Linked DNA regions of Drosophila melanogaster. The protein of the gene in region 2 purifies or fractionates together with the protein of the main gene of each other region. This does not show direct contact. Each region holds a gene or a part of one and is shown on either strand. Other genes may lie near its edges.

What was found.
Region 1: the proteins of PlexA (region 2) and Ras64B purify together in Drosophila melanogaster (affinity purification with western blotting, with the first as the bait; one study listed by BioGRID). This does not show direct contact.
Region 3: the proteins of PlexA (region 2) and Sema5c purify together in Drosophila melanogaster (affinity purification with western blotting; one study listed by BioGRID). This does not show direct contact.

The regions. Positions count from the first base shown.
Region 1 is NT_037436.4:4,137,215-4,141,898, reverse strand, and holds Ras64B (Ras oncogene at 64B), read right to left. Parts: upstream 2,824-4,684; 5' UTR 2,721-2,823; coding exon 2,640-2,720; intron 1,993-2,639; coding exon 1,905-1,992; intron 1,849-1,904; coding exon 1,439-1,848; 3' UTR 501-1,438; downstream 1-500. Other genes in the region: Akh (adipokinetic hormone), read right to left, coding at 6-176, 245-313; Rop (Ras opposite), read left to right, coding at 3,085-4,684. UniProt on the Drosophila melanogaster protein: May be involved in endocytic processes and/or other transport pathways mediated by vesicle trafficking. May interact functionally with ROP protein. Ras proteins bind GDP/GTP and possess intrinsic GTPase activity.
Region 2 is NC_004353.4:1,023,129-1,029,663, forward strand, and holds the start of PlexA (plexin A), read right to left. Parts: upstream 3,974-6,535; 5' UTR 3,835-3,973; exon of another isoform or gene 3,642-3,834; intron 3,408-3,641; exon of another isoform or gene 3,088-3,407; intron 553-3,087; 5' UTR 344-552; coding exon 1-343. Other genes in the region: mitochondrial inner membrane protein MPV17, read right to left, coding at 5,615-6,121.
Region 3 is NT_037436.4:12,078,831-12,083,769, reverse strand, and holds the start of Sema5c (semaphorin 5c), read left to right. Parts: upstream 1-1,939; 5' UTR 1,940-2,418; coding exon 2,419-2,423; intron 2,424-2,811; coding exon 2,812-2,975; intron 2,976-3,729; coding exon 3,730-3,829; intron 3,830-4,939. UniProt on the Drosophila melanogaster protein: Regulates the motility of migrating epithelial cells by providing guidance cues within the migratory environment and may also play a role in development of the olfactory system. May act as a positive axonal guidance cue.

The sequences.
Region 1 (4,684 bases), on a different chromosome or scaffold from region 2:
GCTATCTACTCGCGGTGCTTGCAGTCCAGAAAGAGCTGTGCCTGAGATTGCACGAAGCGGAAGATCTCGAGCAGCATTTCGTTGGAGGTCTTGCAGTTGCCCTGCTGTGTCTCGAAAAAGGTTCCAGGACCAGCTCCGCCCACCGAACGCTTGCCCCAATCCGGCGAGAAGGTCAACTATATAGAGGAAAATAAAATGAGACATCAGAAAGGGATATCCTGCAGCGGGATATGAATTCACTCACTTGACACTGGACGCAGGCCAGCAGCATGAAGAGCACGGCTGCAATGAGGACTTCGCTCTTGGGATTCATTCTGAGTTCTATGCTGGTCCACTTCGATTCAGCCCGCTTTTATACCCATTGAGCTCGAAGGGAAGACAGCTGGTAAGTAATTAACACAGCACTAGCAAGGATTCTTTCTATAATTGCTTGGATTGGGTCGGAATTTTCAATTCCAGTCGAGAGCGTCATTGAAACAATCTTCTATGTGGAAGCGTTTGTGATTCTCCATGTGTTTATTAGAATTGCGCATATGTTTAATTTTAAATTTAATTATATATTTATTTATATACCATTAAATAAGTTCGTTAAATTAAGCAGTGTATAAGAGTTAAAACAAGATTGCGGCTAAAGCAACTGTTGCAATACATTTGGCGAACAATAAACCATAGGATCCGGATCCGACTGGGGACATGTACAAAAGTATCGTTAAGTGAGTTGTGCGCGCCTGGCAGCTGCGGGTATAGTACAAAAATGCCGTGGGTGTAATACAGAGTTTGATGTTTTAGATTTCTACGCGCGAGAACGAGGCACTCAATTTGTTACAACAAAATCGGTTTGTAAGCAGTTAATATATGTATACGTATATATTAGTAGTAAATAACAATACAAATTACAATAACACATTATTACGTTTTGGCTTAATCGAAACAAACGTTCTGGGCTTAGTTATTGCATTATAAAAACAAATGGCCTGCGAGCCACGATTGGTAATAATCATGAAAACATTCGTCCTTAATTGTTGTCGTTGATCAACAAAATAATATTACAAAAATATATGTAGAAATATATATGTATATATAAGTTATTCGTGTGAATCTGTTGTATATATCTACCTATGTTTCGTGTTTCTGTTTGCATTTTGCATTGTTAGTTGTCAGTTGTAAGATTCTTCGTAGCTATTTGAGAGTGGCGAAGTTTATTCGATTCGTTCGTTGAATGCGCCATGCACCTGGGCAGGTAAGAAATGCACTTCGTTTGGGCTCGTTGACACGTTTTGTGCGGTTACTGGTTTCGGGTTACTGGTTTATCGTCTTCTCAACGGAATTCAAAGCTCAGTCGACGCGTGTTTTTCAAAAAATTTGGTGTTATAATCATTATATGTTGGCTCCTGCTTCCGCTGCGGCATTCAGGAGATTCTCTTCCATTTAGTTCCTTCTACATCAGGCAGCACTTCCTCTTGCCCTTCTTCTTGTAATCCTGCTCGATGAAGGGACGCTCGGCGATCTGGAACTTGCGCACGATCCTCACGAGCTCGTGGAAGGCCTGATCGACGTTGACCCTCAGTTTGGCACTGCACTCGATGTAGGGGATCATCAGGTTGCGGCTGGTGTTCTGCGCCTCCTCCAGGGACACCTGCTGCTGGTGCTTCAGGTCGCACTTGTTACCCACCATCAGCATGGGGAACTCGTCGCGATCCTTGACGCGCAGTATCTGGCGCTGGAACTTGGGGATCTCATCGAAGCTGGAATGATCGTTGAGCGCGAAGACGAGCAGGAATCCCTCGCCGGAGCGCATGTACTGCTCCCGCATGGCACTGAACTCCTCCTGGCCAGCCGTGTCCAAAACTAGGTAAAATATCAGGTTATTATGAATCTGGTAAGGGTAAAGAAAGGAAGCTTACTGTCCAATTTGGCTGGCACATCGTCGATGTTGCACTGCTTCGTGTACGAGTCTTCAATGGTGGGATCGTAGTCCGTGACGAAGTAGCTCTGCAAGATTAGGATTAAAATTATTGTACCGCCAGCTGCCGAGGCCACAAAACTACATATATAAACATTATAAGACTGGGTTTTTTATGTGGGCGGGGTGCGTTTATCATTCCGCCTTTGATTTGTTTACACACGTCACTTTTATCATTCACTATCCACTATGCTCTATATATCTTGGGGAAAAGCTACAGCATATACACGAAAGATGTGCAGATGACGCAAATGACTAAAAATAAATGGAAGCGGGCGGTCATTGTGGTCGTGACCATGGCACAAACTCTCGGGGAATCGATCGGCACACCCAGAAAACTGGGGGCTGCGTCTAACGCAACTCCCTGGTTCTGGGCTCTGACCACTTGATCCCCAATTGGAGATACACACGGGGGTGTGGCCACCGCGATGATGATGCTGCCAATGATGATGATGATGATGATTGTGTTGGTGATGATCTCGGCCCGAAACTATGCACACGCATGTCCAAACACAGACGCACATCACAGTCGCTTGTTGCTTGTTTGTTGCTCTGGCCAAAACAAGGGCCGTCCCCCTGCCACCGCCCCTGTGCGCCATCGCCCCCCACTCCCACATTCAAACGCCCCTGTGGAAAGCGACGTCACCAGGGATTGGGCCGATGCTGGGCGGCTTACCTGGATGAACTGTATCGTTATCGCTGACTTGCCCACGCCGCCGCCGCCGACGACCACCAGTTTGTACGTTTGCATCTGCATTTCCCCGTTTAAATCGACCAGTTGGCCAGCAAAATTATTTTATTTTCCTTCCTCGACAGCAGCAGCGTGACCGTTCTCGGTTAACTGAGAAATCCACACTCGCACTGAGACGGGTGCGCGTCTCTGCTAGACAGTAATATCGATATCAACTATCGCTAGCCAGCAATCGACTTTCGCCCATCACTAAGGCTAAGTCATCAAACGAAAAAAATACAGAAAAATTGGCCAAGGAATAGATAAAATTCTTTAAGTCAAGTTAGCCCACGCGAAAAAGCGAACGGAATAAGCTAAAAAGACATATTTACACGCAGTGTGTTCATAATCGAGTTGCCTTTGCGCCCGTGACCAATAAAACGCAGTGAAAATGGCCTTGAAAGTGCTGGTGGGCCAAAAGCTGATGAACGAGGTGGTGAAGTACAAGCCTCCACCACCCAAAAAGCAGGGCGTTACGTCCGCTGCGGGGGCGGGCGGCATGGAATGGCGGGTGCTGGTGGTGGACAAGCTGGGTATGCGCATGGTGTCCGCCTGCACCAAGATGCACGAAATCAGCGCCGAGGGCATCACCCTGGTTGAGGACATCAACAAGAAGCGCGAGCCGCTGCCCACGATGGACGCGATCTATCTGATTACGCCGTCGGATGAGTCAGTGCGCGGTCTGATACGAGACTTCGAGAACCCAGCGCGGCCCATGTATCGCTATGCCCATGTCTTCTTCACCGAAGTTTGTCCCGAGGAGCTATTCAACGATCTGTGCAAGTCGTGCGCGGCCGGAAAGATCAAGACGCTGAAGGAGATCAACATTGCATTTTTGCCATACGAATGCCAGGTGTTCTCGCTGGACTCGCCGGACACATTCCAATGCCTCTACTCGCCGGCCTTTGCCTCCATTCGGAGCAAGCACATCGAGCGAATTGCCGAGCAAATAGCCACACTGTGCGCTACCCTTGGGGAGTACCCAAATGTGCGCTACCGCAGCGACTGGGACAGGAACATCGATTTGGCCGCGTCGGTGCAGCAGAAGCTGGACGCCTACAAGGCCGACGATGCCACCATGGGCGAGGGCCCCGAGAAGGCACGATCCCAGCTGCTGATCCTGGATCGCGGCTTCGACTGCGTGTCGCCGCTGCTGCACGAGCTCACCCTGCAGGCCATGGCCTACGATTTGCTACCCATCGTCAATGACGTGTATCGCTACACGCCCGGCCCCAACCAGCCGGATAAGGAGGTGCTGCTCGACGAGAACGACGACTTGTGGGTGGAGCTGCGTCACGAGCATATCGCTGTGGTCTCCACCCAGGTGACTCAGAACCTTAAGAAATTCACCGACTCTAAGCGCATGGGCTCGGCTGACAAGTCGTCGATGCGCGATCTCTCGCAGATGATCAAGAAGATGCCGCAGTACCAGAAGGAGCTGTCCAAGTACTCCACCCACTTGCATTTGGCCGAGGACTGCATGAAGTCGTACCAGAACTACGTGGACAAGCTGTGCCGCGTGGAACAGGATCTGGCCATGGGCACGGACGCCGAGGGCGAAAAGATCAAGGATCATATGCGCAACATTGTGCCCATCTTGCTGGACGCCAATGTCTCGAACTACGACAAGGTTCGCATCATTGCCCTGTACGTCATGATCAAGAACGGAATTTCCGAGGAGAACCTGACCAAGCTGTTTACGCATGCCCAGCTGTCGCCGAAGGATCAGGATATGGTGCGTAACCTTAGTTGCTTGGGCATCAATGTCATTGCAGATTCGCGCAAGAAGCAGTACTCGGTGCCGCGCAAGGAGCGCACCACAGAAAGCACCTACCAGATGTCCCGCTGGACACCGGTGATCAAGGACATCATGGAGGATTGCATAGAGGATAAGCTCGATCTCCGCCACTTCCCCTTCCTCGAGGGCAGGGCCCAAAATACCAATTATCATGCCCCAACCAGTGCCCGCTACGGTCACTGGCACAAGGACA
Region 2 (6,535 bases):
CATTTTGAGGCCCCGTTTTCACAGTTTCGGAAAGCTCCAAATCAGGCGACAACTGATACAACCTGTTAACACCACCAACGAAGACTCGTCCAGTAATGGTGTCCACTAATAGGTGATTCAATTTGGTGTCAAACGCAGCTACATTTGTAATCGTAGAATTCAGATTCTTTGCATTCTTTATCGGTGCATTTGCATTAGTCAAATTTATCGGCTCATTTTGCGCAGTCGTCTTGTCAGACCATATATTTGCTGCCAGGGTTTGACAACCTGTCCTCGATGGCAGCCAGTAATCATACTTATCTTTAAGAATTGCTATTAACAACACACTAAGAACAAAATTCATCTCCACAATCGCTCCTTAAACAGGACTATCAAAGCTACCTTATTTATGAAATTGTTACTTGTAGGCGCTTGTATGTCCCTTATTTATTTGAAATTTTACGTAAATATTAAAATTTCCTTTGCGTTGGTGTCATTCTTGCAATTTTTATTATCCGTTCCATTCAAGATAATTTAACTTGGAGCAATAACTTGTATGACCATCATGTAAACCTGAAAAAACAATAAGGAAAGTAGTTATATATATATATATATATATATATATATATATATATACCCGTTACTCGTAGAGTAAAGGGTATACTAGATTCGTTGATAATTATTTAACTGGCAGAAGTAGGCGTTTCCGACCATATAAAGAAAATATATTCTTGATCAGGATCAATAGCCGAGTCGATCTGGCCATGTACGAATGAACGCAAGGTTAAACTTCGCTAAAACCTACAGAAACTGTCCAGTCTCCAAATGGCTTAATATCCTTTGGACTGATGAGTCAAAAATATGAACTGGAACTGGTTCACGACAGTATGTCCAACGACCTCCAAAGACCGAGTACAACCCAAGCCACACACTCAAGAATGTTAAGCACGGTGGACATAAATATGGTATGGGCCTGTTTTTCATACAACGGTGTGGGTCCCATACATATGATTAATGGTATGTAAATATACCTAGTGATGTTTTACTGCCATATGCTGAATGGAATATGCCCTTATAATGGACATTCCAATAGGATAATGATCCGAAACGCAGAAGCAAATCGGCTAAGAATAAGTTCACCCAAAATAGAATAGATGCAATGCCGTGGCAAGCACCATCATCCGATTTAAACCCGATTGAAAACCTGTGGGGGGACATTAAACAATACGTGTCGAAGAATTCCCCGATGTCCAAGATTCAGCTTTGGCAAGTTGTGCAGGATGCATGGGCAAAAATTCCCCCAAACGTCCTCGTGGACTCCATGCCGAGTAGGTGTAAGGCTGTGCTGGCTAAAAAAGGCAATCCAACCAGGTATTAGTCCCTAATTAACACATTAAAAAAAAACTATGTTAGTTCTAAGTCATGTTGTTACTATTTTTTCATATCACTGCTATTTCAGTGAACACCAGAATTTCTGCCTATTATGTTGTTTTAATCTATATCTATTGAAAAAATAAAAGTGAAACATATGTTGAATTGTTTGATATAATAATAAAATTATGAAAAAAATTCCCATTACAACTTTAAATCATATGATTTTTTATCCTAAACTCGCAAGTCCCAAGCACTGCTATTTTTATGAACACAGCTGTATATATCAGCTAAAAGGTTGAGATTCAGCATACAGATTCTAAAGACAAATACGGAGCGAAAGTTTGTTAACCTATGTTGCCACGCCCACTCTAACGCCCTAAAACCGCGCAAAACTGCCACGCTCACATTTTAAAACAAATTTTAAATTTTTTCTCATTTTATTCCTTAATATTGATATCCCAGAAAAATAAAGCAATTTCGCGTTCGCATTCACACTAGCTGAGTTACGGGTATCTGAGTCGGGGAACTCGACTATAGTATTCTTTCGAATTCTATTTGTGTGGATCACCAAACATTGAAATGCTGTTACATATAGATTATAAATGTATTTCGTGAACACCCAATAAATCGTAATTTTGAAAATCTTCACAGCCAAAAAAACTCAGTTTAAAAATTTAATCACGTCAAAACAAAAACTGTGGGTTGGCTGTAAGTGTACTTCCCTGAAACATGGGTAGTTTATCGCATAGTTTAAAATGATGTCGTACAAATAGTTTTGAAACTACAGTTAAGGTTAAAATAATAGCACTACTGCAGGTGGAAAATTGATATCCTAAAAAAAATTATAAATTTTTTTTTTTTTAAGCCAGATTGCATGAATAATAAGTACCATATGTTGCCTCTTTGAGCAATAAATTTTTAGTCTCTCAATTTAACGGTTCTTTTTGTTTTTGGGCACTTGCTGCAAAAGTGCGCGAAATGAGGCGGTAACAAAAATAGCACTGAAAACGTATTTGCTGAATAAAATTAATGGGAGTGATTGCTTTGGTTTTTTTTACGACAAATTTTGAAAAAAAGGTGTTGCATTAAAGGTTTTAATTGAATTTGCTCCAAACGAAGACCAAAAATTCTCTAGTCATGGGTCACGGAAAGCATTGTACCGTCGAAAAAAGAAATTTGATTAAAAACGTGATCTCTGAAGGTAAAACCTACGCTGAAATTGGTCGCATTGTCGGTTGTTCAAACAAAATGATCCGCAAATCACTGCTGTTTGTCGAAAAGAACGAAACGCGGCGAGGAAAGCCTTCAATGTCCAACTTGGATGCTCTCCAAGCATCCAAGCGCTTGGTTCGGCAAAGCAAGAACCCGGTGACGGAACTGAAGATGGAGCTTCAGATATACTGGCTCAACTCCTTAATATGAAAATCTCACCCAAAGCATAATTCATGAACCAACGTGCTCTACCATTTACTGTCTCCGAATAGGACTATAACCGACCAAAATATATTCCGCTACTGCCGCTAATATGTTGACCGCAACTGTACATATATATTAAACATGAATCCATATCATGCTATAAATATTAATGGAATGGAAATCCCAAGCTAAGGAGTTTCCTATGTATGCTATATAAGCATATCTCGTTTTTGCAATAAAAAATTTCCTCTACCTAACACATTAATTGTAAAACTTTGAACAAATTCAGTTCCAAACGTTCAATTTTTTTCCACTTACATATATTCGCACTCAGGCCACTTATTCCAAGCCATTTCGTTATAGAGAATTTATGTAGTTTTAAAGTATATTCACGGCTATTCCAGGATTTCAAATTTGGGCGAGCGTGCACAATATTTGGTAATTTCATTGCAAATGCATATATGCATACTGCACATACATACATACAAATTTGGCCAGCGCCCGAATTTAAATACATATAATAAACCGGTAAAATGTAAGTGCACTTAGTTTAAATGTTTTTAGGCAAAGATTATTGAGAGAAGTAAAACTCGATCTTTTGCATTTGGAATTTTTGGGATATTCTGGTGCACACACATCTATACAAAATGTATATATTTATATGCATACACATGCACATCATATACAGCAAATTTTATTTTGCTGCTATCTTTCCCAATGCATGATGCATTTAATTTCGTATGTGTGAAACGCAGCTAACAATGTATTTAAATAAGAGCCACACTTTTTAAAAATACTATTTACATAAATATAATATATACTTAAGTACATAAAACAAAATGATTGCATGGCCGTTTTTAATTTTTACATACATACAACGTTGTATACCAGTTAAAGAAAATTTGTATTTTCTTAATAATTCTAAAGCAATGCAATATACACTGGAACGTTAAATGATTTTATTACACTTTTTTTAATATTTAGCAAAAAATGACAATTTTGTATGTATATCTGAATTATGGAACGGCGATAGTTTTCTAGTGAACAATCGGAAATCCGGCTTACTGTTTGTTTTCCTATATTTCACTCATTAACTATTATTTCTTTACATCGCAAGTCACTGAACATAATTTCTGTCTATTTTCGAATTACACCACACTTTAATTTACACATCATTGTATGTAAATGTTATCGATACTATAAGGCAGAGGAGAGAATTAAACAACTAGTTGTTAGTCCTAAGACCCGTTCATACCTATCACTATCGATACCTAAATTAACCGATGGCACACTTCAAAATGTAATGTTCACGAGTACATGGAAAATGTCTTGTTGTTACTGTGTAATGACTCGTACGAAAGTAATTTGGAAGGGGTTTGATTCCCAAGCCAGATAATATTTATTATCTCTCTAATTTCCTTGAGCATTATTAAAAAATGAAATAAATATATTTAATATATTCGTTTTCTTTAATATCGATAGTGTGATGAGACTATAAAGGTCTGTTCACAATGAAAATGTAAATTGAAAAATTGGACTTAAGAATTTCATGCTAACAGCTCCTCAATCCACAGCAAATATGTGCGCAAACTGTATCAAAGCATAATTTTGTTATTTAAAATTTCATGGCACAACTTTTTTTTGTTGGCCTTTGTGCACATTTTATGACCTATTGAAATATCTTCAACTGACACCGACTGCAGATGTGCATATTTACACATCTGATTTAAAGCATTGTTGTTATGACCATGTAGTTAGAGACTTAGTTAGTTAGTAAGAAAAAAAAATAATCAATAATTTCACTGTTTTGAGGGCTGATTAGCAATAGAGATTTTTTCTAAGAAATGACATATAGATAAAAGTTAAATGAATTGAATTGCAGGGTGTTTATTTGCACATGTACACATGAAGTGTATTCCACTATTGGCTGCTTACATTCTCAGCTTCGTGCGTGCGCAGTTTGCGGTATTTTTGGCGCTACTAAGGTAAATTCTATCCATAAATCGTCTATCTCACGTTAAACAACAGGATATCAACAACTTGTGGGAAACTGTCAGAAGATACCGTTGACGCACTTTTCAAAAGTTTATTCCCCTAAATCGTAAAATAGAAATGTAGAAAGGAACAAACTTATGGAGAATTGATATTTTCGGAACTATGAACTCTAGAGAGCTCAGAGCATGTAGATTCAAGTGACGCCACATTTTTCAAGATTGTTGCAGAACGTTTGTTGTTTAACCCTACCTCCCACAATCTGCCTTAAAATGTCAGAAATAAAAGGTTTACCCGTTATTCAGATAGTGGGAACAGTGGGCGTGGCTAAAATACGTTTGGCAAATCGATAGAAACAGCCAAGAGAATTTATAAAATAAAATCGAAAAATAATTCTTAAGAGTGGGCATAACAGTTTGGGTGTGGCAAAATTTTTGTGGTATGTCAATATCATGACAGATAATTAAATGAAAACAAAATAACAACACAACGCCCACAGAAATTGTGGGCGTTAGATTGGGCGTGACGTCGTTATGATACAATCTTGCTTATCCAATTCAAATTTAAATGATCGAGTAAATATTTTGAGAAGCACATGCCCAACCGACTAATAACGGAGGGAAATAAGATTTCAAGCAAAATTTTTTGAAGTGCTTTGTAGGATTAAAACTCGAGTGCCTATAATACATGTATACTATAAATTCCATTCTATATGTACAGCCTTTCCGCCGAATACCCCTAAAAAAACGACAACCAAATCCAGTCCGAAGTCACATGTCGAGATAAGGATAATAATGTATTTGTTAAATTTGATACACAGGCACCGTATTACTTATGCGGGGAACTTAGTGCCCTAGCTATTAAGTATCATGGAGAGGTAGCAGTTCCATACGAGGGCGATGAACTGGGCGTAGAGCACCTGGTAGCCCAGCGGCACGAATCTGAAGTTTAGCATCTGTGCGGCCGGCCAGAGCATATAGTTGCGGACCAATATAGATAGGTAGCTATCAAGAATGCGCTGCCGGATTCGGTCGATGGGCTCTCCGTTGGAGAGTGGCACCAAAAAAGACATGGCCATGGTAAAGGGTGGCGCAAAAAGGGTCTGGTCGACCAGCATTTTGGTAACGCCCCGCCGCATTGGCGAGTAGGTTTTGGGAACCCGGGACTCCAAAAAATGGTACCACCGGCGCAAAGTTGGGCCAACGAACACCAGTCCAACGATGCCGAAACGGAGGGTTCGCCCCGCATCCCATTCGTCCAACGATTTCTTATCAAAAAAGAACTGGGATATAGTATCGCCCAGACACATTACCGCCGCCACATTGATGCCATCCTTTAGGTACGCTTTAAGTCTCTTCATCCTTATCAGAGATCAGTTCCATTCATAGCCCGATCCAAATTGTTTTAAATACGCAATTAAAACACAACTGAGAAATCGATTTGCTGTTGTTCGTGTAGTTTTAAAGGGTTGCCTAATAATCGCAAAGTGATTGGTGTCAATTGCTGAAGTGACAAAAATTGGCAACTCTGAATAATTATTTAAATTAAATTATGCTAGCGTATTCAACTTTTTAACGCGCGTGAGTCCTTTTAATTGTTACATGCCGAATGAGAAAACGTTAAATTGCGTTCAATATGCAATTTAATGTAATGTAATGTAAAATAACTTAAACGTTTTAAGTATCGAACTGTTTTAGCACAGAAATCTCTTTCGGAACATGCGCAACGCGTATTCTTAATATTCTTTTAAATATAAATCTTAACTTTAACCACC
Region 3 (4,939 bases), on a different chromosome or scaffold from region 2:
CGGTAGCCAGGCCAGCAAAGATAGCCAAGATCTTTCCATATTAACAAAAGAAGATATAACTACTAGACCTACCTGACGGAACCAGCCGATGCCACATTAACATTACAATTGTCGGTCGGAAAGTTAAGCCGTAAATTATCGGGGTTCTCGGGGAAGTGGTTTCGTCTATCGGTATCACTACCAACAAAATTAGCATATTTGGCCACTGTGTCTTTTCGGCCAAGACAAGAAACGCAGGCCGCGTCGACAATGGTTTAGGTAGCCGTAAATTGTCATGGGCTGGCAATGTTTTGGGCCTATGCTAATGTCGATCGTTGTCTGCCCACACTCAACTTTAACTCCCGGATCGAATTGAAACGGATTGGACGGATGGCATCGGTCCTCATGTTTGTGTATCCCTTGGGTTCGTGCTGTGGCATAAACAAAATCCGAGGATCGTGTTGCAGTTGCATTCAAGTTGAGGTTACTGCACCTTCGGGACGGTCCATTTGATGGTTTCGTATTTGTTCTCAGCGACCAGCTGTGTTTTCACACTTACTCTGGGAGTCAAGGCTGACAAAGATCTGAATAGTACAGCCTGGGATGTCTGCAGTAAAAGGAAAACCTTGGAAGGAACACTAAAAAAATAGAACAAAGCCCCACCAGGTGAATGAGCAAAACTAATCCCGTGAAAATGCGTCATATCTGTTGTTGTTCCTTAAATAAGAACTTTATGGTGTTGGACTTGAGATGAGTGATTCAGGTACTGTAAACTGTTGTACAAAGCATTAAAACACCGTTTATACTTCATTATGATAAAGAAATAATTAAATAAGTGATAAATCATTCCTTTTGTATCAAAAATATACTATACTATCTATCTGTATAGAATGAGAAAATCTATTAAATCATTTGTTTTGGCGCCATTTCTATGATTTGCTAATCGAGTATCTTTGCTGATGGGCAAAAACGTCGCAAGGCGGAAAAGATAGGATCTGTTGATCCCTCGTCTGGAGGAATATATCACGTGTCCTCGAACCGCGACGTCGGCAATACTAATGTCAATTTGTCAGGCTACCAAATCGAAGCACAGCAAGTGCCCGTCCCACCCTCCAAGTGGCTTCTCTATACCTCTTCGCGGAGCTGCACATCCCGATCCCGATCCCGGAGATTCAGATTCTGATTCTGAAGAGTCGTTCTCGTTGTCGTTGTCGCATGATATATGAGCGCCCTGCCCAGTTGCTGCTTCGGCTGCCGTAGCCGCGCCTCTTAACTCCCAAGCAGACACTGAGAGAAATTCGTACTTACTTTTGTGGGATGACTTGAAAAATAAATTTGGATTGCTATTACTATCTAAGAGACTTGCCCTTAAATTATTCGATTTAACAAACAGTTCAGTTAAAATAATAAATTACAAAGATGAAAATAAGGTCTTTTAATTATTTTATTATTATTTTTTATTTTTATTTTTACAGTTGAATTATATTATATATAGTTTTTAATTCATTGGATTATTTCATAGGTAAGGACCTCAAAACTATGCTACACTTCTGTGTACTTATAAATTTTATGAATTAAGGCTTGAAAAGTCTTTAACATTTAAGATACTAGCAGAAAATCATTAAAAACGAATACACATAATTCTGAAAAATATTTCTTGAATAAATTATGTAAAATATATTTTCGTTTTTAAATTTTGAATCAAAGGAAAGCGAATTTTAAATATTTTTTTCCTTGTTGTATTGCACATTTTTTCCGAGTGCATTCTTCAAGCCGAAATTGAGCCGGTTATCTTCGTCGGCGTTTTAGCCTGTTCTCTCTTGTTTGCCTCGGCGTTTTTTTTTTGTTTTGCGTTCGTGCTTCGTTTTCACGTTTTTGTTTTCGTTCCATTCGCTTCTCTGTCTCACTCTCTTCTCTCTCTATCGACTGACTATGGATCCGAATCCGAATCCATGGTGGGTTCAGTTTCTTGCGACTCTTTGCGCGGTCAACTTCGCCGATCGGTCGGGCATGCGCGTCCGTATAACTCGTATCTGAATAATCATAAGAGTAGGAAATCGAGGCAGAAGTAAAAACCCGTCTCGCTATATTCGTCGACCGTGTTGTTGGTGTCTATCTGTGTCTTTTGTCAATGTTTTTAACCCAACTCCACTTGAGGGGGAGCCAATCCGCCTTTCTTCTGAAAATTTCTTTCAAATAATACGAAAATCGTATGGAAAATTGAAAAATTGTGAGTGTTGTGTGCAAAGTGAACCACGGTGATCGTAGTTACGGTCAGATCATCTGAAGAATCAGAAACACGCGCCTTGCTCGATTCCCCTGCTTATCAGGCACATGCCTATATTATACAATTTACCAACAGTCTTTTACAATCTGTTCGCCGCAAAAGTTGAATGGAATAAATTTTAGTCTTTTATTTTGCACGAAACGTGACACTAAATGAAGTAAGTTTCGACTATCTCATCTGTATAATCGACGTTTTTTGCTGTTTACAATTTTTGTAATATTTTTTGAGGAAGTGTAAAGTGCTGCAACAAAAACTTATTACTAATCTTCAGGACAGATTAAGGGGTTTCTGTTAAATAGTGAAACATAATTCAAAATGAAATATAATTTAAACTTATTTAAAAGCTAGTGTTTAAGGAATTATTGAAGACAATTTTAATTTAAAAAATTTAAGAACTGTTATTTCTGAGTTGAAAAGAGGATAAATAACATTTAAGAAGAAATTGAGTTAGCGTTTGTTGAACGTCGATAATTAGTTAAAAATGTATGAAAAACTATATTATATCCACAACACACATTACAACTTCATTTCTTTTCTTTTTGCAGCATGTTAATACTGAAACTTCCCAAAATGTTTAGCCAACTGTGGCTTCTTCTGATTCTATCGCTCTTAACCCTAGAAGGCCCACAGCCTTCGACGGGCAGTGGTTATACGACAAAATCAAGTGTGGATTTGCTGGAAAACGATTCGCGATACATCTCATATCAAGGTGAGTTCTCGAGGTGGGCGGATTATCAAAAATTACTCGAAACTGTGTCAATTGCACGGCAATCAATCAAGTTGGCCACTTGAAGCGGTGGAACTGTAAATTGGGTTGATGTCTGTCAAAGTTCTAAGTGATTCCGAGAGTCTGCTGCAATCGATTGCACAAATGTTCGGTTCGATCGAACAGGTGCCATTTCGAATACAACGAATACACCCATCTGCCCAACTGTTTGTATTTGCACGGAATGTCAACAATGATCTCGATTTAACCGAGTTCCCCAACAAACCGCTTTTATGACACCCCAATACATTCGTGTATCTGCTGCTTTTAATCAGAAAAAGTTTCGCATTTTGTTAAAATATTTGTTCTTTTTTTGTGATTTTTGCACTGAAATGTATCTCGAAGTCCGTCTTAAAATGCGAACTCAGCCCAACGTTGTGTTGACAATGATTTTAATTTTTGTTTAGCGCTTTTTTATTTTATTTCGCACTTAAATATTGAAAAGTATATGTTTTACCAATGAATCAGTGAATCTTTTAAAAACCTTGAAAAATATGGGTTAAATAAAATTGAGCTTAATTGTGCCAAGATGCCAAAATGTTTTAATAAATTTGCAATATAATTGCTGAGATAATAATTGCTTATATAATAATTGCTAATATAATTGCTAATAAAACTTCAATTAAATTGCTTAGTATTTGTTTTTACGATTTTGTGCAATCTTTTTCTTACAAAAATGTTTTTATTTTCTTAACAGATTTAATGTCGACGGCCAAACGATTTTACGATCCCGAAACGACCTGGTATTCGGAAATGCTATTCGACGTGGCCAGGAACCAAGTGATTGTCGGCGCCAGGTAAAAACCGGGAGGCTATTGTTATTAGTTATTATAGATTTTGTTTCCGGCCAATTGAGTCACGGCTAAGCCGTGTACCTAGTCATTATGACTGTTTTTATTTTTCCTGTTGCGTCAAAACCCCAAAGATATGTACTGTTTGAAGGACTTGCTTTTTAATTAGTCTCACCGATAAGTGGGTCATTATTTTGGGCATTGATAGCGATAAGAAATGAAAAGGGAAAACACCCCCGAAAATAAATCGTCACTTAAGCATTTGTTAACTTTGGGTTATCAGCAGAGAGGCATTACGTAAAATTCGACGATCAGAAGAAAATAAACAGATGCATTGCGTACGTAAAACGGGTACTGATTATATTCGTCTTCTGTGTTTTTTTAGCGTATTACGCAAGTTACAAAAAAATACACAAAAGTGTATAAAAATGAAAGTGCACGCACTGGTATACCAAAGATTTTTTACATATCAACCAAGATCGACCAAAAACAAAAAAAACCCCTCGTCGAGAACTTATCTCAAGTACCTGCTGTGCGCAAGTGAATAAATAAAGATAATTGAGTGTAAAAAAAAGAATAAAAAAATTAAGAAAAGAGGGAAAGGGAACAAAACCGAAAAGGTAACCAAATAATAATATTGCAGCGCCGAGGGAGAAGTGGTATACTCCGTTTATTTGTTGAGCAATTTAATATACGCGTTTCGAGATACAAAAGTATCTGTCGCTTTAGCCGGGTTACTCGGTTCTTGTAGTTTACTTTTCATTTACGCGTCTTGAAGTTTGTTTGTTTCTGCTTCGCATAGATATGGATGCGATACTACTCCACCTCTGTCGGAAAAAAAAACACGATAAGATACACACATGGACGCATGTGTCTATAGTGTCGTCATGTTGATAAACCCACCTTAACCCATTGCTGCCCGGGAAGGGAAGTCGTTTATCATGTTCCCTTGTCGTCAATCATTTGTCATACTTTTCAGTTTCAGTTTTAGTTGCCTTTTCTATTCTTTATTGCCTACGATTTTCACTTCGACCATAACTCCACTCTGCCATATTTTTTGTTGCTCTCTTATTTACCAACCTCTGAATTATGGCATAATGATAAGAGCCCGATATT